Linked DNA regions of Tribolium castaneum. The protein of the gene in region 2 binds, or shares a complex with, the protein of the main gene of each other region. Links are inferred from orthologs where the notes say so. Each region holds a gene or a part of one and is shown on either strand. Other genes may lie near its edges.

The links. The genes of interacting proteins can lie anywhere in the genome.
Region 1: the proteins of Uba3 (region 2) and APP-BP1 are in contact, whole or in part, in a crystal structure (PDB 3DBR), measured with the Homo sapiens proteins. The link is inferred for Tribolium castaneum from reciprocal best matches to the Homo sapiens genes UBA3 and NAE1. Residues at the interface, in NP_003959.3 of Homo sapiens: Trp34, Glu35, Gly36, Arg37, Trp38, Asn39, His40, Lys43, Phe44, Glu46, Arg47, Ser48, Gly49, Pro50, Phe51, Thr52, Phe56, Glu83, Lys86, Asn87, Leu90, Ser91, Val106, Ser107, Leu109, Asn110, Arg111, Phe113, Leu114, Arg116; in NP_003896.1 of Homo sapiens: Glu10, Gln11, Lys12, Tyr13, Asp14, Arg15, Gln16, Leu17, Arg18, Leu19, Trp20, Asp22, Glu44, Lys47, Asn48, Leu51, Pro52, Gly67, Glu68, Ala70, Gly71, Asn72, Asn73, Phe74, Phe75, Gln77, Arg78, Ile81, Phe92, Glu95.

Annotation. Positions count from the first base shown.
Region 1 is NC_087394.1:31,698,572-31,709,635, reverse strand, and holds APP-BP1 (nedd8-activating enzyme E1 regulatory subunit), read left to right. Parts: upstream 1-5,271; 5' UTR 5,272-5,403; coding exon 5,404-5,471; intron 5,472-5,521; coding exon 5,522-5,686; intron 5,687-5,733; coding exon 5,734-5,916; intron 5,917-5,963; coding exon 5,964-6,250; intron 6,251-7,047; coding exon 7,048-7,487; intron 7,488-7,534; coding exon 7,535-7,993; 3' UTR 7,994-8,041; downstream 8,042-11,064. Other genes in the region: muscle M-line assembly protein unc-89, read right to left, coding at 1-3,227, 3,274-3,505; DEF8 (differentially expressed in FDCP 8 homolog), read left to right, coding at 8,347-8,493, 8,549-8,706, 8,762-8,881, 8,930-9,126. UniProt on the Homo sapiens protein: Regulatory subunit of the dimeric UBA3-NAE1 E1 enzyme. E1 activates NEDD8 by first adenylating its C-terminal glycine residue with ATP, thereafter linking this residue to the side chain of the catalytic cysteine, yielding a NEDD8-UBA3 thioester and free AMP.
Region 2 is NC_087400.1:1,385,566-1,396,391, forward strand, and holds Uba3 (nedd8-activating enzyme E1 catalytic subunit), read left to right. Parts: upstream 1-4,815; 5' UTR 4,816-4,934; coding exon 4,935-5,454; intron 5,455-6,501; coding exon 6,502-7,307; 3' UTR 7,308-7,345; downstream 7,346-10,826. Other genes in the region: coronin-2B, read right to left, coding at 4,487-4,594; proliferation-associated protein 2G4, read left to right, coding at 7,866-7,950, 8,086-8,320, 9,984-10,594, 10,655-10,826. UniProt on the Homo sapiens protein: Catalytic subunit of the dimeric UBA3-NAE1 E1 enzyme. E1 activates NEDD8 by first adenylating its C-terminal glycine residue with ATP, thereafter linking this residue to the side chain of the catalytic cysteine, yielding a NEDD8-UBA3 thioester and free AMP.

The DNA of each region.
Region 1 (11,064 bases), on a different chromosome or scaffold from region 2:
TTTAACTTTCTTTGATTTTCCAGTTGACGGTTTGAAAGCAACGGAAACAACATTTTGTAATTTTGCTTCGTTCTTCTTAGCAACTTTTGCTTTAACTGGAACTTCTTCACTTTCAGGTGTTGGGTGTTTGCGTTTCTTGCTTTTCTTTCCAACTTCTGACACCTCTGGGACTAATTTTTTCCCAGTCTTGGATTCAGTAAACGTAGAAACTTTTTCCTTCTTGGTTTTTTTAGCGTGCACTTTTTGTTCCACGGTTTTATCTTCATTCCCTTTTTTGGATTTTTTAGTGTGTGACTTTTTCTTTTCGCCAGTTTCGTCGTTTTCATCTTCTGTGTCCTCGAAAAGTTCGCCGGGTAAAGTTTTCGACAAGTAGTTGCTAATGGAGAAGAGCTTCTTAGTTTTCTTTGACTGTTTCTCCTCATCAGTGTTCTTATTTTCATCGAAAGACTTTAACAGTTCTTCATCACTGGCATCCGACTCTAAATCGGACGTCCCTTCAGTGCTTAGTTCCGAGAAAGTTGAATCGGCACTTGGTTTCCAGGAAACATCCTCTTCGTCACTCTGGCAAGACTCATTTAGGAATTTTTCAAAATTTGTGGTTGTAGACTCTTCGGTTGAATCTTCACTCAGACTTTCCTCCGAGGACGTATCACTTTTCTGTGCCTTCCAGGGTGTAGATTTCTGTTTAGGAGAAACAACAACAAGCGATCCACGCTTCTTGCTTTTCTTTGCAGAGTCATCTTCATCTTCAACCTTCAATTCTTCTTTATTTGGTGTTTCTTGGCAAATTTTTCGCCGTTTGCTTCCTTTTTGCGGTTTTTCTTCCGAAACATTGGACGCAGTCATCGAAATTTCAATCAAATCGCCTTTTTCCTCACTGTCGGAATTTGGGGCTGCGTATTCCATGGACACATTGATGGAAACATCGCCCGTACTTTTAATCGTAGAACAGAAATAATCAACCATGTTGTGGATACGGCCGCTCAGATTGGCTTCCTTGTCCTCATCAGCCTTGATCGTTTCTTGCAAGGAGATTGAGACACGATCTGACGAGCGTCTGCACACACTCTGTGACAGGACCGAAATTTCGGGTTTATTTTTATTTTCCCCATCTTTTTCCTTCTCTTCACCGCTTGTAGAGGTTTCTTCTTCACTGTCGCTCACTTCTATGGGAAGAACGTCTTTTTGTTCAGGTTCTGCCTTACGCTGGATGAAGGCATATTTAGAATCGATCGATCTTTCGAAAATACTGTCTGATGAACTTTTATTTTTTGATGTAAACACTTCATCGTCGCTCACGCTGTTGTACTGTCGCATTTTTTTCACTGGTGACGCGTAGTCCTCTTCAGATTCTGACTCGGCTTCAAATTCTTGTTCCTTGCTTGGAGTCACTTGCTTGTTTTCAATCACTTCTTGAGATTTTTCGGTTTCATTCTCAGCTTCTTTATCGGTGATGTCTGATTTAAACGATTGATCACAACCATCAGGCTTTTCGTTCACAAGGGAATTTTCCTTCTCTGAAACATTTGGTTTTCCTGGTGTAACTGAACTATCACTGATATCGTCCCCTGATTCTTTATTTGGAGTTGCCTTCAGAGAACGTTCTTCTTTTGTGACACTTTCTGGAGCAGAACCCTTTTCGGGAGTTACTTTACTTTTTATGGGTGTTTTCTTGGGAGATGGACTCCTTCCCTTTTGTCCTTCCTGTTCAAGTGGTTTCACGGGTGTGTTTATTTTTTTACTTTTAGGAGAGTCGATTCTGGGACTAGCAGCGGATTTATCATTCACTTTATTTTCAGGACTTTCCTTATTTTCTGTAGGTGTTTTCCTGACAGGACTTGTCTGTTTGTTAGGTGTGAGCATTTTGTCCATTTTTTCGAGTGGCGAATTGATTCTAGGACTTCTTCTAGCCGGTGTTTCTAGTGACTTTTTGGACACTTTCTCTTTTGGTGTCAGTTCTTCAAGCATAACAACAGCCTGCTTGGCTGGAGTGGTATTTTTTTTCTCTGGGTGAAGTCCTATATCTTCAAGCATAACAACAGCCTGTTTGCTGGATTCTTTATCAGGACTCTCTTTCATTAATTGATTCTGTAGTTCTGTAGTTGGAGAAATTTCTTCCATTGCTTCAACACCGTTAACTTTCGGTACCTCTTTAGGAGAGATTTTTTCTTCCAGTGCAACAGTTTCTAACTTAGTTTCATGGGCTTGCTTAACAGGAGTATCGATTTTCTTCACTGGGGTGATAATTTTTTCTTTTTCAGTGCTTGATTCATTCAATTGTTTCGTCACAGGTGTGTTAATTTTTGACTTGTTCAGTTCTTTCTTCACTGGGCTGTTAATTTTTTCTTGTTCCATAACTGAATCGTTCAATTCCTTCTTGGCTTCAGCAAGGTTTTCGGCTTTTTTTGCATCAGAAAGTGGTTCATTTTCGCGTGAAAGATTTTCCGAACTGTTAAACTTCCCCTGAGCTTCGGTAAATAAGCAGTCAATTTCTGCGTCATCAACATCCATCGGTTCAAAATCCATGTCTTGAGATGGGGTTTTAGGATTGACGTTTTCCTTGTTGCTGGGATCGGTATTTGTTTCGTTTTTATCGCTGTTTTCACACACGGAAAGCTGCAGAGTGAATGAATGGTCAGAATCCGTCTCAAACTTGTCGCTTTCTCCGGTTCCTTTAACAGGAGTTGTTTCTTTGGTGGCTGTTGGTTCCTCGGATTTTTCCTGAGACACATTCAAGACTTTGTTTTGTTCTTTTTCTTCAGTTTTTCGTTTTTTCTCTGGACTTGGATCTTCTTCTGTTAAACTAGCCTCGTTGATGACGCTCAAATCAAGGTCTAATTTAGTACTTTCAGGCTTCAAGTTCTTTTTTATTGTAACTGGTTCATCCTCTTCTGAATGTTCATCTTCGGCAATTGACTCCAAATTTGTGTTGACGGGTTCATTGGAAGGCGATTTTTTTGTTGGAGTAGCAACAGGTATTTCAGATGTCTTCAAGGACTGTTTTCTAGTTGAAAGTTTCAAATCATCGACGCTGTTATTCTGTGACAGAGAACGAGTCCTTCTTGTTGTGGGCTCATCTTCAACAACATCTGCATCATCAGTAACGGATCTTCGACGTCTTGTTGTTCTTTTGACTTCTGTCGTTATTTCTTTTGTAACAGAAGAGCTTCGAGTTGTAGGTCTTGCAACTGGCTTTTCGTCATTTTCAACACTTGATGATGCAGAACCTGAATAAAAAAAATTAAAAAACGAATTAACAGAATACTTAGATACCTTTTCTAGTTATTGATTTTTCCTTGTTTGATTCCAATTCCTGACTAAACGAAGAACGTCTACCTCTAGTTGCTTTCGGAGTTGAAGTTGTTGCTTCACTAGCTGAATTTCTTCTAGTTATGACTTTCGTTGGAACTGGTGAACTGGTACTTAATCGAGTTGATCTTCGGAGAGGGGAACTGACCACTGGTTCTTCCTTTTGGAGTTCTTTGACTGGAGTTTTTCGCGGCATCGTGGCTAGATATTGCAGTTTTGTAAAAATACAAACAAATTGGTCTGAGATTTGTTTATTTCAATAAAAGAAGGTTCAATATTTTTTATAAATAATAATAATAATAATAATAATAATAATATATACTACATATATTCGGTTCACTTTCATAAAAACCACTGTGGTGGAAATTGGGTACTCTTGGCATTAACTTTGAGTTGTCATGGTAACGGGTTAGTCAATTCCACCACAATGGTTTTTATGAAAGTGAACCGAAAATATAATAATATACTAGGTAGTTTTTCAATTGATATTTTTAAATGGAAACACCTTTAAACCCAAGAGCCAGAACAAACCACAATTTTAAGATTTTTGTTTAATAAAAACCACCCCTTTACTTATCAGATAAATGTTTCAGCAAGACAAAAATTAAGCAAAACTGTAGGAGTTAAAGAATTACAAAAGAACAAAAAAATCTACTATTTTTGCTAATATTTCAAAATCTTTAAATTAGGTTTCATCAAAGGTTTTTTTTCCGTTGGTAATTCATATATCACGCTTGGGAAATAAAAATTACGTAAAACACACCACTTTTATCAACATTTTCCAACTTCAAAACGTGATTTAACTGAATTTTAAAAATTCCGTGCCCTGTTAAAGCTTGGTTTGTTAATTATTTGACTGAATGCAATCAGAACTGGTAACAGTACCACATAAAAAATACCAAAAACAATACTATAAAGTAACGTTTTGTAGCATTGTTTTTTTTTTAATAAAATTGTGTTAAAAAACAGGTAATTGGTAAATTAAAATTAAATGCGAAATTGAAAAAAAATTAATAAAATTACAAAGAATACAGAAAAATTAACCTTTGTGCCTTGCTATTTATTTCTGCAATTTGAAATAAATCAATTGTTGTAGTGGCTTTTTCGTTTATATAAGTAAGAAATGTATTATTTCAAACATATCCGTTAGAAACAAAGAAACATGAAGTGAAAATCTGAAAATTTTATAGGAGCAAAATTCAGCAAAAAGGCTTAATTCTGCAAATGATGCAAGACAAGGCAAGAAAACTGATTCAGTTTGTGTCCCTTGTTAATAAAAAGCTTCTTTGAAATCGAGACCACGTGTTTTTTAGATGTTCTCTAAAATTTTAACCAACTATCCTCCATCTCCCCTATGTGGAATGAACTCCTATGCACAATTATCTAGAGTGCTGATTTATTTAATATTGCCCAGATTTCATGCTACCTTGATTAAAAAGAAGAAACAGACAAAAAGGTTTTTTGAACGAAGATAAACCGTTTTTTTTTAAACCGGTGCCGGAACCAGTACTTGTAAATGAAACCCTATAATAAAAAAATGACATACCTGATAATGAACAGAATACGAACTTGGAAACACTGACTTTATCGCGATAGCAAATACAATAAAAATTTAACACTTTAACACCGAATAAAATTAAAACACAATTTCACGTGTAAGGACTTGCATGTCCCAAGAATCGCAGATGTCGCCCTTTTAATTTTCTTCGGCAATCATCGTTTTGCAACGGTTTACCTCTCCATTGATCTGTAAAATATAGAGCGCAAACTGTATCAAATTTGTTAATTAAATCATTTATTTTGCGGCCTAACAGCAAAATAAACTTACTTTAAATTAGCATAGTTGTTTAGGAATATAATGCAATGAAATATTAACGTAATCCTACAAGTATAATTTTATTGCGTAATGTTTCCAATCTAGAAATTTTTCACTTCTAATACATATTTTAGTGATTTTTATTTCCAAAACTAGTGCAAATTGCCGGCATTGAAAGCTGACATTTGGAGTGAAAAAGGCCGACAGTTTTTTAAATTTTACAAGAAGTTATTGTTGTGTAACACATAAAAAGCCTTGTTTTAAGTTTTTAATCGATAATGTCATCTCCCGCGCCAAAGTCGCCGGAACAAAGCGAAAAGAGCAAAAAATACGACCGGCAGTTGAGGTTAGTCAACATTGACCAGTCATTTTTCAAAAAATAAACGAAAATTATAGATTATGGGGCGATCACGGTCAGAAATTTCTCGAAAACTCAAAGATTTGTCTAATTAACGCCACCGCTTTGGGTACGGAAATTCTCAAAAGTTTGGTTTTGCCTGGCATTGGTTCCTTCACGATTGTTGATGGTGAAAAAGTAACTGATGATGATATTGGTTCAAAGTAGGAGTTTTAAAATTAAGGAACGTTGTCTGAATCAGTTGTTTTAGCTTTTTTATCGAGAGTGATTCAATAGGGATGTCTAGAGCACAGGTAGCCACTCAAAACCTACTTGAGCTGAACCCTGATGTTAGAGGGGACTACATTGACGAGTCCGTTGACCACATTATGGCCCACAGTCAAGATTTTTTTGACACGTTTTCTGTCGTAATTGCAACGTGTTTGCCAGAAAAGTAAAATCAATAGAAATGACGTCAGGAAATAATTGATCAAATTTTAGAGTTTTAATGCCGCTCTCTAGACACTTATGGGAAAAAAATGTACCACTTATTGTATGCCGCAGTGTGGGCTTTCTGGGCTACATAAGAATACAAGTCAAAGAACACACCATAATAGAAGCCCACCCTGATAACGAAAATCATGATTTACGCTTAGATAATCCATGGCCTGCACTTAAAGAACATTTGGATAAAGTTGATGTAACCAAACTAGACAACAAGGAACGCAGTCATGTGCCTGCGGTGGTTATTCTGTACTATTATTTGGCGCAGTTTAAAAGCAAACACGGTAAATTTCTGGTCAAAGTGGCCGTAATTTTGAAACAAAGTTGGCAATGCTGTTGTTAGGTTTTGTCAGATGACCATACTAACGATGTGCATTTGTTAGTTATGCTGCCAACTTAATTTTTAAGTCATAGGCCACTCTGATAGAGTTACTTGAAACCATGAAAGATTCTATACAGGGTGCTCAAGTCACGTACCAACTCAGTGGTACTGCAAAAATTCTGACTTATTTTCTTATAAGTTTGTATGTCTACTGAAAAATTCTAACAGTACTTGAATTAAAAAAAATTGTATAAACCTTGGGACTTCTCGATCGTCTCATTGACAACATCAAAACTGTTTTTTAAAGTGAATAAAGTCAAACATTCAATTTTTCTATAAAATAAAAAACAAACAAAGCTTGTTAAAAAAGTTTTCAACAGAAGAATCGCTCCTTGGGACCTTAAATACCTTGATAACATAAATTAAATTTTTTATTTGTCTTTCCACGTAGCGATTTTCTTGATTTTCGCAGAAAATAAAGCTTGTCACAAGGGCTTGCGGTCGTGAAAAGATGAAGAATCAAAAATCATTCTTTAGGGCTTTAATAATTTTTTTATTCAATTTGTTTCAACTAAACTAGTAAAAATATTGTTGTATTCTTCCAAAATACTTTCTACAATTTTTCACTTATAAATGTCCTAAACTTCCTGAAAGCGTTAATTTTTTCTTGTTTGGTTGAAATAAATTTAAATAGTCCAATTTTTTATTGAGTTGGTGCCCACGTTTTTGAGCATTCTGTATACAAAACTTAATTGTTAGGCCATTTACCGAAAACTCGAGCCGAAAAGGAAGAAGTTAAAAAAATGATAACGGAAAGCCCCCCGCCTGATGAACACGGAATTAAGAACTTGGAGGAGAATTTTAAAGAGGCTATTCGCTACATTAATACTTGTATTAACCCCATCAAGATTCCCCCAAATTTGCAAGCAATTCTGGAGGACGATAGCTGCATAAATGTGAACCAGAACAGTTCACCTTTTTGGGTTTTATGTGCGGCCTTGAAGGAATTTGTTGAAAAAGAAGGGGCGCCCCCTTTGAAAGGGACTTTACCAGATATGGCAGCTGACACCAGTAGCTACATCACGTTGCAACAACTCTACCAAAAACAGGCTCAAACCCAGTGTGAAATTATCTACAGGAGGGCGTTAGAAATTGCGCGAAATTTGGGCCTCTCTCAAGAGACCATAACCGAATCTGAAGTAATTTCCTGTTTTAGTGTTTTTCTGTATTGAATTCTTGGTTTCAGGCTAAGCTATTTTGCAAGCATGCGAGTGAGTTACATGTGATTCGTGGCAGTTGCATTGCTGATGAATATCAAAAAACTAGAGTAGATCTAACGTCATGTCTTGAGGATCCTGATAGTTTGATGTTCCATTACATAACTCTAAGAGGGCTAGAGCGCTTTATCAGTGAATTTAATAGTTATCCAGGGCAATTGGATGACCATGTGGAGCCTGATGTGCTTAAATTGAAGGGCATTATTGGGAAGTTGTTAGGAGAGTGGGGTTGTTCACAGATAATCAGAGATGAGAGGGTACACGAAGTTTGTCGCTACGGGGGCGCTGAACTGCACTCAGTCTCGGCTATTTTGGGCGGATGTGCGGCTCATGAAGCCATCAAACTTATAACTCTGCAGTATAAGCCACTAAACAACACCTTTATTTACGATGCAATTACCTCAACTTCTGCCTCGTTTACTCTTTAAGTGGTTGATTTGTTATTAGGTTACTAAGAGTAAAGTTTTTAAAACGCTTTTTGGTGTAATTATTCAAGACAAGAATGGCAACTTAACCTCAAATTTTTACTACTAGTCGTAATCGGTTAATTATAGCTGCAATTAAAGAATAATTTTGCTACAAGTCACGGTTTTATCAGATAGTTCTGTTTATTGTTATACAGTTGTTGCAAAACACAAAAGAACAAAATTGGAGGCATATCTGAGGTTATGCGGACCTAACCTCACAAATCCAAAGTTGTCAAACAAGTCACAAGTCATCAACCTGTTTAATCTGAACATTAATTATCTTAACATATTCGCATTAAAATAATATGTAAACAATGTGCGAAGTAGGGGAAAACAGCAGAATTTTAGCCTCAACGCCGTCGTCTACAACGTCGGGTTGTTTATCGAATGACGAAGGTTCAGACGATAGGCTCCTGCCTTCAAGTCTAGCGGCGGAAGAGTTGCAATTGGCTTTAAACAAGGTTAAAGGTTATCACTGGTTATTGCCAGTAGTTTTCCTAATACTTGAAACTGTAGGAAGCCACAGAGGAAGAGTTGTTAAAGGCTATCACGCGATGTAAGGACTTGGTTTTGGAGAGCAATCAGTGTTCATTGGAACGCAAGTGGCTCGTGAGGCACCTCATAGAACTACGTTTGAGGCTACAAGAATGTAGGGAAGCGATGGAGGATCCACTGTGATTATTGCATAATTTGTTGTATCACAATTTCAAGTAACGTTTGTTATTGCAGACATCCACGGAATAAAAGCAGTGGTGTGTCGAGGAGAACAGTGCGAGGGCACCATTTAAACTTGCAGCCACTTCTGAGTACTTCCACAAAGTATTGTGATCATTGTACTGGCACAATTTGGTAAAATACTACAAACAGTTAATTGAGTTAAATACATGATTTGTTTAGGAGTTTGGTGCAAGCTTGGTATGAGTGTGAGGACTGTGGTTATGCGTGTCATTATAAATGCATATCGCAAATAATAAGAGAATGTGCTCATGTCGTTGCCAGTGAAAGGGGAGGATATGAGTTGGAAATTTGCCCAGAAGAAGGTTTATCAGCTCAAAAGTATCTGTGCGCCGAGTGCCAGTCACCTCTCCCCATAAGTAAGTACCCAGAAGTTTGTGTTAGACCTAATAAATTGAGGAGGCTTCGGCTTATTTCAAAATGAAAAGTAACGAAATGTGCCAAAAGGCCACCAAATTTTATAGCAATTATGCAATTTTTTCTGTGATACAATTCCTAATTTTAACGTGAGAATTTTGCAATTAAAATAACTAAAAGGTTTGTGTCTGCTTGATTTACAAGAATATCTATTGTTACGATTTGGTAAGGTGGAGATAATTCTTGCATATTTGAAGTTCATTCATCTGCTTCAGCTACTGTTTATAGCTAGTTCTTTTAACTTCATTAAAATGGATCTGTTGCAATAAAAAAAGCAAAAGCAGTACAAAGTGTCATTAAATTAGGTAGTTAAAAATAGTACAAATTTAATATTGATTTTCTGAAAAAAATATTGAATACCAACTTTTTATACCGGATCCTTGTAACAGAATTCTTTTCGTATTGGAAAAATGTACATCTAAATGTCTATTAGGCACTTGAAAAACTTCTGTACACACTGATCACTGTAATTCTGTTTTTAGTCAAAAAAATGCTGATTTATATTTTATTTAATTAGTCTATAAAAGGTTTATAAAATATTAAGTAACAAACTGAATAAAAATAAACAAATTATAAACAAATAAATATAATCTAAATAAATCATCGTTTTCTAAAAATAATATCTATTATAATGGTAAATAATTGCTGCAAAAATGTGAACAAAGACGTAAGTATATCTAATTTTTTCAATCCTACTGGCAATTTCTATATCACCTATCAACCCTTACATAACATTTTTTGAAAGAAAGAAGACGTACTATTTTTGCCAAAAATGCATAATTTATATAATAAATTAATAAATTAGTAATCACTTCAAGATTTTACGAACATTGTTTCGTACCAAATGACTTTATTCTACTTTATTACCTAATTGAACCTTTTTTTTCAATTATTACATAAAAACAACAAACTTTTAATTATTAGCTGTTAATTTTCAATTTCCAACAATATACAGGGTTAGTGTAGTGTGTAGGGGATTTCTAAACCAAATTTTCTAGCTAGTTTTTTAAGAAAATAATACATTTGAGGTATGTTATGTTATATTACAAAGCATTTTACTAGAATGTATAGTGTAGTTACCGTATTTTTTGTTATTTAATTAAAACTGTTAGTGAATTAAAAAAATTACAAAAATTTAAGTTGTTTGAAAATTTCATAAACTTTACTAAACGTAAGGTCAAAATTAAATGTTTAAACTAAACATTATTTTTATATTAAAAATACCGGTAGATTTCCAGATTTCTTCATTTATTAAATATTTTTGTGTTTTATTTTCAAATTGTATGTAACAGTGTTCTAGCGTATTCGATAACTCATTAGATAATAAGGAAAAAAAAGGAATATTGTCCAACTCCCAAATTAACAAAATTCTATTAGTTTACTTTAAGAAAACTGAAAAGCGAAATTTAATTTGCAGCTACTTACTGCCTCAGTTACGTATACCATTAGAGTTGTTCTAATTAGAACCAAAAGAATGTTAGAAGATTGACAATACAGAGTTTAAAGGAATTTCATCATGTTGAAAAATTGCTTACAAAATTTTTTTTTTAATTTTATCCAAAGAAAAAACTAAATAAAATCAATCTTAAAATCACCATTGTCGCACATTTTTCCATTTAAATTTATTATAATTTCTATGTAGATATTTGTCCTCTTTCAAGCCTCACCTTTTTCAAAAATCATTGTATAATTTGCTATTTGAACATTATTTTACTGATGATATACATAGGTGTTGTTAAGGAGCCATAATTTGAAACAAAAATGAATTATTATCTGTATGTAGTTTCAACTTTTGAGAATAATAACATAAAAAAATGCCCAGTTTTAACCACCAAATCAAAATTGTATTTAGTTCGGATGTTCCCATAGTTTTTGTGAAT
Region 2 (10,826 bases):
TTTGAAACAGTTTAGAAATTTTTCAAATAATTTATATAAAAATTCTGCTGAATAATTCAGTTTCTGATTAAAAAACGTGCAGAAACGCTGGAAAGAGCCAAAAATAAGGTAATTTTTTAAATATCCAATGACTCTTTCCTTCTGGTTTAACGTAATCTGGCCAAAAATTTTAGTCTTTTACGAAATTTCGTAAAATTATTGAATATTTGGGAAAAAAGCCCAGTTCAGCGAAATCGTGCAAAAACATTGAGCTCAAAAACGTTTTTGAACGTTATATTTAAGCCAAAAATTATTATTTTAAATTTATTTACCTATAGTTGTTCTTCAAAAATATTTTTTTTAAATAAATTCAAAGAATGGAGTTTTTAGCTCAAAAAACTTGTAAATATTCAACGAACGCAAGAAATAACAACAATTTCGACGATTTCTCGACTTACTTTTGTCGAAATCTTGTGAAATGATTGAATTTTTGAATAAAAAAAGATCGAAAAATTTAAAATGCGAGAAATCACAAAAAAAACTGGATAGTAAGCTCAAAAACGTGCTGAACATTAAAAATTACATTATTTTGGATCCAGCTTAAAGATTTTTCAAATTATTTATGTCAAAAATCTCGCGAACAAATTAAGTGTTTCGAAAAGTCAAAGTCCCTAAGTAATTGTAGGTTGCGTATAATAGTCGAATTTTTATGCAAAACATGAATAAATCTAAAACATGGACTCTTGAATGACATCACAACTACATTAATACTAATTATGAATCCAAGGTTTTTTCGTCCAGTAATCGAACCAAACTCGCCAAAAATAACTTTGTTGTGACAAAACAACACTTAAAAACGACACATACCTTGTTTGTTGTCATTTCGTAGATTTTTAAATTTTTTGCAAACATAATTCACTCCCAAACACCAAACGTAACGCATCGATCCACCATGTGGTCTAATTAAGACATTTATTCTAATAAATTATTATCACTTCTCTTATCAATGTCAATACAAGTGATAAAAAATTTGTCACAAGTATACATAAAATGAGGTGCGGTTGGTTGTTGTCTTTAAAACGCTTGAAGATAAACGAACGCTGTTACGAACCGTATGTTATGACTCAGTACTTTTATTACACTTGCTAATTAATATATTATATGTAATAAGGAAAACATCTATTTTTATTTTAAAATAACGCCAAGTGGAGACAGATAATAACGCAATTACGTAACTATTTCTCTGATCGAATTCCATTCAAAGAAAATGCACAAATAATAATAATAATAATATAATTAAACACATCTTGAGCTTGAGAATGTTCTCACTGATTATGCGGTTTTTACAATTTCCGATAAAATAATTGCAAGAATGTGACCGAGGTCAAGATGCAATAGAAAAATTGAAACAAACAAGAACAGATAAAGATTGTTTCAAATATATTTGTTCCATGTTTTCTCTCCTCTCTGTATTAATTAATTAATTTAACAATAAAAATTGGACGAGAGAAAGACGTGTGAAAACTAACTCACTCCCTTGTCTGTATTTTAATTTAAATCCTTTCAAAATAATGGTTATGAAGGTTTCGTGCATTTTCACTTTTTATCTAATTTACAAATTTTATGAATTCCAATTATTCCAATAATTTATTCCATAATACCATAAGACCTACTTTCCATATTCTCAATAAATCGAGTTATGTAAGAAATTGGACAAAGTCGTTTAAATCCCTTACCTGTGAGTTTGTCATCGTAACATCCAAAAAAAAAGCTTCAGAAGAACAAATTCAGTCTCTTGGCAGCGTTTCATGCAAGACACCACCACAATAAAGAAGACTGGAAAACACAGAAAGTAAAAACACCAAAAGCAAAAACAAAAAAAAATTAAAAAAATAAACTAAGCCATCAGAAGCAGATTCTCTCTCATTCACAAACAAATAATCAATCACTGAACTGAAAGCGCTGCTGACAAGCCGTGCACGCTATAAACAACTAGAACAGGTGCTTTTCAACGACTGAACTAATTAAAACGAGTCTTAATTGACAGAACATCCCTTTCTCCATCGAATTTACTTGCACTTAGTACTTTCAAATAGAAAACTGTGCAGAATTGTGCATTTTTAGTGTGCCTTAGGAAGTGGCAATAACAAGGATTTGGCCAAGTGTAAAAAAATTGGTATGCACAGTTACACAATGGAAATGGGTATTTCGACTTTTTTTACGTAAAAAAATCTGATATGCTTCAGAGTGTGCAACTAATTCCATATTCATATCAAATTAGAGGTTGGGTAATTTTGAAGATAGAAATCTATTTTGAACGTGTTTTACCGTAACACCATTACTGTTTACAAATTTATTGGTCTCGAGTCAGTTTTTATACAAATCAATCAATTTAATAAAATAAAAAATATATTGACAATTTTTTTTTCAAAAATATATTTTTCGTTAAAATTTTAGTTCCATTATTAAAAACTTAATGCTTATTTTTCAAGCAATTAGTGATTTATAGTTAACTTTAATTCATTTAATACAAGGTGAGGTCAAAATTTTTAGAACAAAAAATCGAGTTATTTTCCATTGTTTCGCCTCCTAGTATATAGTTCTCCATAGTCCAAAATAATTATTAAATATTGTAAACAATGATAAAAAAGTGTGAAATCATCTAAAATACGAGCAAATAACTACATTAATAAAAAAAAACTTCATTCATATCAAATTAGAAGTTGGGTAATTTTGAAGATAGAAATCTACTTTGAACGTGCTTTACCGTAACACCATTGCTATCTACAAATTTATTGGTCTCGAGTCAGTTTTTATACAAATCAATAAATTTAATAAAATAAAAAATATATTGACAATTTTTTTTTCAAAAATATATTTTTCGTTAAAATTTTAGTTCCATTATTAAAAACTTAATGCTTATTTTTCAAGCAATTAGTGATTTATAGTTAACTTTAGTTCATTTAATACAAGGTGAGGTCAAAATTTTTAGAACAAAAAATCGAGTTATTTTCCATTGTTTCGCCTCCTAGTATATAGTTCTCCATAGTCCAAAATAATTATTAAAAATTGTAAACAATGATAAAAAAGTGTGAAATCATCTAAAATACGAGCAAATAACTACATTAATAAAAAAAAAACTTCATTCATTTCAAATCAGAAGTTGAGTAATTTTGAAGATAGAAATCTACTTTGAACGTGCTTTACCGTAACACCATTACTATCTACAAATTTATTGGTCTCGAGTCAGTTTTTTATACAAATCAGCAAATAAAAAAATAAAAAATATATTGACAATTTTTTTTTCAAAAATATATTTTTCGTTAAAATTTTAGTTCCATTATTAAAAACTTAATGCTTATTTTTCAAGCAATTAGTGATTTATAGTTAACTTTAATTCATTTAATACAAGGTGAGGTCAAAATTTTTAGAACAAAAAATCGAGTTATTTTCCATTGTTTCGCCTCCTAGTATATAGTTCTCCATAGTCCAAAATAATTATTAAAAATTGTAAACAATGATAAAAAAGTGTGAAATCATCTAAAATACGAGCAAATAACTACATTAATAAAAAAAAACTTCATTCATTTCAAATCAGAAGTTGGGTAATTTTGAAGATAGAAATCTACTTTGAACGTGCTTTACCGTAACACCATTACTATCTACAAATTTATTGGTCTCGAGTCAGTTTTTTATACAAATCAATAAATTTAATAAAATAAAAAATATATTGACAATTTTTTTTTCAAAAATATATTTTTCGTTAAAATTTTAGTTCCATTATTAAAAACTTAATGCTTATTTTTCAAGCAATTAGTGATTTATAGTTAACTTTAATTCATTTAATACAACGTGAGGTCAAAATTTTTAGAACAAAAAATCGAGTTATTTTCCATTGTTTCGCCTCCTAGTATATAGTTCTCCATAGTCCAAAATAATTATTAAAAATTGTAAACAATGATAAAAAAGTGTGAAATCATCTAAAATACGAGCAAATAACTACATTAATTATAAAAAACATCATTCATGTCAAATTAGAGGTTGGGTAATTTTGAAGATAGAAATCTACTTTGAACGTGCTTTACCGTAACACCATTGCTATCTACAAATTTATTGGTCTCGAGTCAGTTTTTTATACAAATCGATAAATTTAATAAAATAAAAAATATATTGACAATTGAACAAAAAAAAATTTTCAAAAATTAAAAGAATAAAAAAAGAGTAAAAAGATTTTTTCAGAAAAAAACGTGGTTTAATTTAAAAACACCGTTTTCGACCAAAAGGTGGATATTTGAAACGTTGACATTGCAAACGTCAAACAAGCCAGTGTGACCACAGGCCTGCCAACTCAAACAGTGACTCTTGACCACTCTGTATAACATAACGACAGTTTTCCATTTGTGATTAAATATTTACATTAAATAATCAATTTAATTACCTACCACACATGTAACACCTGATAACGTCCCAAAACCGGGCTAATAGTAGTAATTAAAAAAAATCTTACCCTTTTTGAGGGTTTGCTGCAAGAGCGGTTATCCACAAAATTAATTATTTTATCTCCGGTTGCTGGCAACAGAGAATTCCCAACATTGCTTTCCGTTTCTCCAGTCATAATAAATGAATTACATAAAAAACCCAACAATTTTGTACTGATTTTAAATAAAAAATTCAATAAAACAATAAATCACAACGTAACTTTTTTGACATTTGTTTGACAGCGATCAACGCGTTGTTACGTCACGAAGTGGCTAACGCTACGATCTTTAACTTATTTCCGACTATTTTATGGCATTGAGGAGAATAATAATTATAATTAGCACCAATTGCAGTGCATAATTAGTACGTAATTAAAATTCCTGCCTTTGTGCCTGGCTTTTTGCGTGAAATAACTAAACGAGTTGGCGCGTTAGTCACTTCCTTTCTGACAGTTCCAATTTTAAAAACGGTTAAAAATGAGCGAAACGCAAGAACAGAAGCGCTGGGGGCACCTGCGCAAGGTGCTGGAGCGTCCGGGCCCCTTTTGCCACCCGGAGTTCGAGCCGTCACCCGAAATCATGGATTTTATCGTAACCTCCTGCAAGGTGCTTGTCGTGGGGGCCGGGGGCCTGGGCTGCGAACTGTTGAAGGACTTGGCTTTGATGGGGTTCAAGCAGATCCACGTCATCGACATGGACACGATCGACTTGTCGAATTTGAACCGCCAGTTTCTGTTCAGACAGAAGGACATTGGGCAGTCCAAGGCCAAAGTGGCGGCGGCTTTCATCAACAAGCGCGTGCCTGGGTGCCAGGTGACGCCCCATTTTTGCAAAATACAAGACTACGATGAGAGTTTTTATCGGAGTTTTCACATTATGGTGTGCGGGTTGGACTCGATCGTGGCCAGGAGGTGGATTAATGGCATGATTTTGTCGCTCTTGAGCTACGAGGATGGGGTGCTGGATAATTCGACCATTATTCCATTGGTGGATGGAGGTTTGTGCCGAAACGTGGGGGCTGAGACAAAAAACGCGCCTTTTTTCGCAGATGGCGCTGTTTCAAAATATCAGCGCCTTCTTGTTTCAGACGCTAAAGTTATTTCTCTCACAAAAAATTGTGTTATTTTAGTTTTTTTTCCATTTTGATATTTTTATTGACATTTATCTTTATCTAACAAACTATTCGGAAATAAAATTACCGTTGGGGGCGCCACTGAGCTAGGTCGAAAACAGTAACCATAAATGGCGGGAAAATGTTTATTCGGATATTTTGAGCGTTGTACGAATTTTGGGGCTTCACAATTATTCCATTGCCTATGCGGAATGATTATTGCATCTTTGATGCAAGAAACTTATGTTGACAAATGAGAGATGACGAGGAAAACACGAATAACGAATGACTGTTTGGTTCACTTTCTTTATTGGAAAATTATTACAAAGACATTGAAAAACCTACCTTTTGGCATAATTTACGTTTAAATGTATCAGCAGTTGTTAATCTTTATTGTAGTTTTGTACATTTACTGCAGCATTTCATGATTTTTTCAGTGGAAAATTCTAATCTAAAATTCATAACACTTCACTAATTTATTGGTTTCTTGAGCCAAACTTTGTGTTCGCTGTGATTTATTACTTATAATCTTTAATTAGACAACTGTTTGATAACACTTTGTAATCAAAATTTAAATATTTTTCACTTTTTATCCACTTTCAAGTTCCAACAATAAACACTTTATACCATGAAAAACTACAGAACCAAAGTCAACGCTAGTATTTACCACCACGTACTTTTAAAGTAATTCTTTCTATTGTAAGTAATTAACACTATACACGCAAAATTGTTGAACAATTCATTAAATGTCAGTTAAATGTGGCATTACGAAAATTTCTTTACTGTCTTCGACATAGTTCAAAAGTCATCACCAGAGGGCGTCTAGTTAATTTTATTTCCGAATAATTCTTCTTGTTTACAGCGCCATCTGAACTGTGCTGTGGCGCCAAAATTTAAAAAAATATATATAATTGAGTAATAATTTATTTCCAGGTACTGAGGGTTTTAAGGGCAACGCCCGCGTCATAGTCCCTGGCAACAACGCCTGTGTTGAGTGCACCCTTGACTTGTACCCCCCTCAGATCACCTACCCTTTGTGCACAATCGCCAACACACCCCGCCTGCCTGAACACTGCATTGAATACGTAAAGGTGGTTTTGTGGCCCAAGGAGAACCCCTTTAATGCGCCCCTGGACGGAGACGACTCCCAGCACATTGGCTGGGTTTACGAAAAGTCCCTGGAAAGGGCGTCCCAGTTCAATATCCCTGGAGTGACTTACCGCCTTGTTCAAGGCGTCGTAAAGCACATTATTCCAGCAGTGGCGTCAACTAACGCCGTTATTGCCGGAGTTTGCGCCACAGAAGTGTTTAAAATCGCAACGAGTTGTTGTCTACCGTTGAATAATTACATGGTTTTCAATGACGTGGACGGGATTTACACTTACACTTACGCAGCGGAACGGAGGGACAATTGTGTGGTTTGCTCCCAAGTGCCGCAAACTCTACCGATTGAGGATCCGAGTAAAGTCAAGCTGAAGGATTTGATTAAAATCCTGTGTGAGGATGAGATGTTTCAAATGAAAAATCCAGGTTTAACCACGGTTATTGATGGGAAAAATAAGACTTTGTACATTTCCACGATTAAGAGTATAGAGGAGAGGACCAGGGATAATTTAAATAAGACTTTAGTTGAGTTGGGGCTTAAGGATGGCATGGATATCATGGTCGCAGATGCTACGTCTCCCATGACGTTGGTTTTCACACTTAAGTTTGCAACGAGCGATGTTGAGATGAAGTAATTGTGTTATTTATTTTTAATAAAGAAAATTACAAACTGGGTTTTGTTTCATTTTAACGGTTATTTTGGCCCTTGAAATGTTTATTGTTTGATTTTTTTAAGTTCTAACCACTCTATCAATTTTGATATTGAAAAAAACACTTTATATCTTTATATCTTTTTTTTGGTATTATTGCTTAAAATTTGGTCGGAATTTTGACTTAGGCCTTATTATAGCTTCGCCGTAATCGGCCGTAGGGCGTTTTTCTCAGAAAATATGACTCGGCGAAGATAAAAACCATCAGAATGAATAAATAAATATTAAAATTTAGTTTTTGCCGGGAGTTTCTCCACACAAGTTGGCCACCCCAAAAAAAAATTCCCCTGATCGGTGGCCACTTTTATAATTTTCCGCGGTTTGGTCCAAAATCGTGCATCACACCGTAGTCATAAGTGATTCCCCGGTCATTTAACCCCCGTCAAAGTTACAATAAACGTTTTGTGGAAGTATAAATTCAAAACTGGCGCGTCAGGTGTGCAACCACATGACGTTTCCTCTCTAGTTCTCGTAGTGCGAGAAATGGCGGACGAGAAAAATGTGGAGAAAACAATTTCGGAAGACTTGGTCGTTACCAAGTATAAAATGGCCGGAGAAATTGTTAACAGTAAGTTGAAACGTCGCTCTTGAGCCCCCCAAAAAAAACACCCTCGGCTAAATTCACCCAGCGCCATATGCTCCAACCATGTGGTCTCCCAGCAAGCGTTGGCCCCCGTTTCGGTCATAACTAGTTTTTTTTCAGGAATTTTGAAACAAGTTCTCGAAAAATGTAAGCCAGGCAGCTCAGTTCGCGAGATTTGCGAGTTCGGAGACCAGCTTATCACGGAAGAAACGAGCAAAGTTTTCAAGAAGGAGAAGGAGCTAAAGAAGGGAATTGCCTTCCCGACGTGTGTCTCGGTCAACAACTGTATTTGCCATTTTTCTCCCATTGCCAGTGAGTCTGATTATGTCCTGAAGGACGGGGATATGGTCAAAGTGTAAGTGAAAAAAAAAATCTCTAATGGGACACAACCAGCTTAAGGGTTAAAATTAAATTAAATGGTTTTTGCGCCAAAAATTGCGGAACAGTACCATACAGTCTTATTCAAGTTTAGAGAATCAAGTAACACGTTATTTTTATTTTCTTGTCAAATGTTCGATCCTGGCGCCGAGCTTTTGTTGTATGATGAACTAAAATTGGCGGCAAATTTGAATGTTTTATTTTTAACACATTGTGTTAGATGTTAGGTTTAGAGAAAAACGAGTGACATATTTTCGGGTCCGTTCTTTGAGAAAATAATTTTGGTCAAAACTGTGTTGCTATCGTCTTTTGTTTTCGACTTATAAACAAAAGTTGACATTTTAGTGAAATATTAAAAAATTCATATCTTCCTTGTTGTGAAAGATACACATTTGAAACAAAGACATTATTACTTTTTTACAGAGAATTTAATAATGTTATCAGTAATCTTTCTTAATTACAAAGTTGTATTTTTTTAAAATGAGAATCATAGTTGGCTATGACATTTTCGAAAAGCCTATTTTTTTCTGAACTCAAAACAATATAAATATAGTTTGATATTTTTATATATTTTTGATAAAAATATATTTAAAATATTTGAAAGTAGTTGGCCATGGAAAAATTATTTCACATAAAAGGTGTGAATAATCTAGAAATTTTGTGAACGGTTATTAAAGTAAAAAATGTGAAATTATAAAAATAAGTTAAAGTTATTTTCAATTGAACAAACATACGAGCGTCGCAGATTTTAATTACATAAAAAAGGTGCAGAAAATTGCAAACGATGTCTCACTACCACTAGATGACACTTTTTTTATGATTTAGTGCAATGGAGGTGACGTTGATAATGTTGTGTATTTTTTTACCGCAGATGGAATTTGATTTTGGTGTTTGGATTGACATTTTTTTGTAAAATAAAATTTTATTGATACGCAATCATACAATTAATAAGATTTTTCTTCTTCCGACATTTCATGTTTAAAATTGGAAAATAGAATGACAACGTAAGCTTGCCATTTTAAATATAATAACAAATAATTTTTATTAATTGCAAAAATTTGATATAATAAAAATTTATTGGCTGTTTTTGAATTAATTAGCGTTTAAAAAATCATTAAATTATAAATACTTGTTGGGTAATACAATTTTCATAGTTTTAATTTAAAATCCAAAATTTTTTCATGGCCTACTATAAAAAAGGCGAAATGTTTTGTTTTTTCTTAAATATTCAAAATAAATGTATTACACAAATAGACATATCAAATCAGAAAAAAATAAGTTTTTCGAAAATTTCACAGCCAACTATGATTCCAATTTAAAAAAATACAACTTTATGTTATTACAGTTAAACGAATGGTTGAAAAAAATCGCTGATAACATTATTAGATTCTCTGAAAAAAAGTGCCTTGTGTATAATGTCTGTGTTTCAAATGTGTATCTTTTATAATAAAAAAGATATGATTTTTTTAAGATTAGAACTCTGGTTGTGTCCTGCTTCCAAAAATTAACTCCATGATGATTTATTTAACTCCAATTGATCCAACTGAAATCAGTGATTGCAAATATACGATCTGATGTAATATTATTATAAAAAAAAATAGTTATGCCTTTTAATGTGCTATCTTGCCCCTTTTTTTTAGTGATTTGGGCGCGCATATCGACGGTTTCATCGCCGTGGTGGCCCACACGATAATCCTAGGTGTCTCAAGCGAGCACAAGGCCACCGATCGAAAAGCCGACGTAATGCTCGCAGCACATTATGCTTCCGAAGCCGCTCTAAGACTACTAAAGCCCGGCAACGAAACATACACAATCACTGACGCCGTTCAAAGAGTGGCCGAATCGTTCAAATGTAAGCCAGTCGAGGGCATGTTAAGCCACCAACTGAAACAGTTCAAAATCGACGGCGAGAAAACCATCATTCAAAACCCGAACGAAGCGCAGAAGAAAGAGCACGAAAAGTTCGAACTGGACAAGCATGAGGTGTATGCCATGGACGTGCTGATCAGCACCGGCGAAGGCGTGGGCAGAGAGGGCGATAATCGTGTCTCGATTTACAAAAAAACCGACGAAACTTATCAGTTAAAACTCAAAGCTTCGAGGATGTTTTACAGCGAAGTGCGCACCAAGCACGGGAATATGCCCTTCAACTTGAGGAGTTTTCAGGACGAGACCAAGGCCAAAATGGGGGTGGTGGAGTGCGTCAAAAATAAGTTAATAGAACCGTTCCAAGTGCTTTACGAAAAACCGGGTATGTTTCTTCCCCTGTTATGGAATTTTTTATCTAGCGTTGATTTTTTTCCATTTTCAGGCGAATTTGTGGCCCATTTCAAGTTCACGGTGTTGTTGATGCCGAACGGCCCCCACAAAATCACAGGGCTGCCTTTCGACCCCGAACTGTACAAATCGGAGCACTCCATCAGCGATCCACAAGTCCAGTCGATACTCAAGAGTTCTGCTAACCCTAAAGCTGCCAAAAAGAA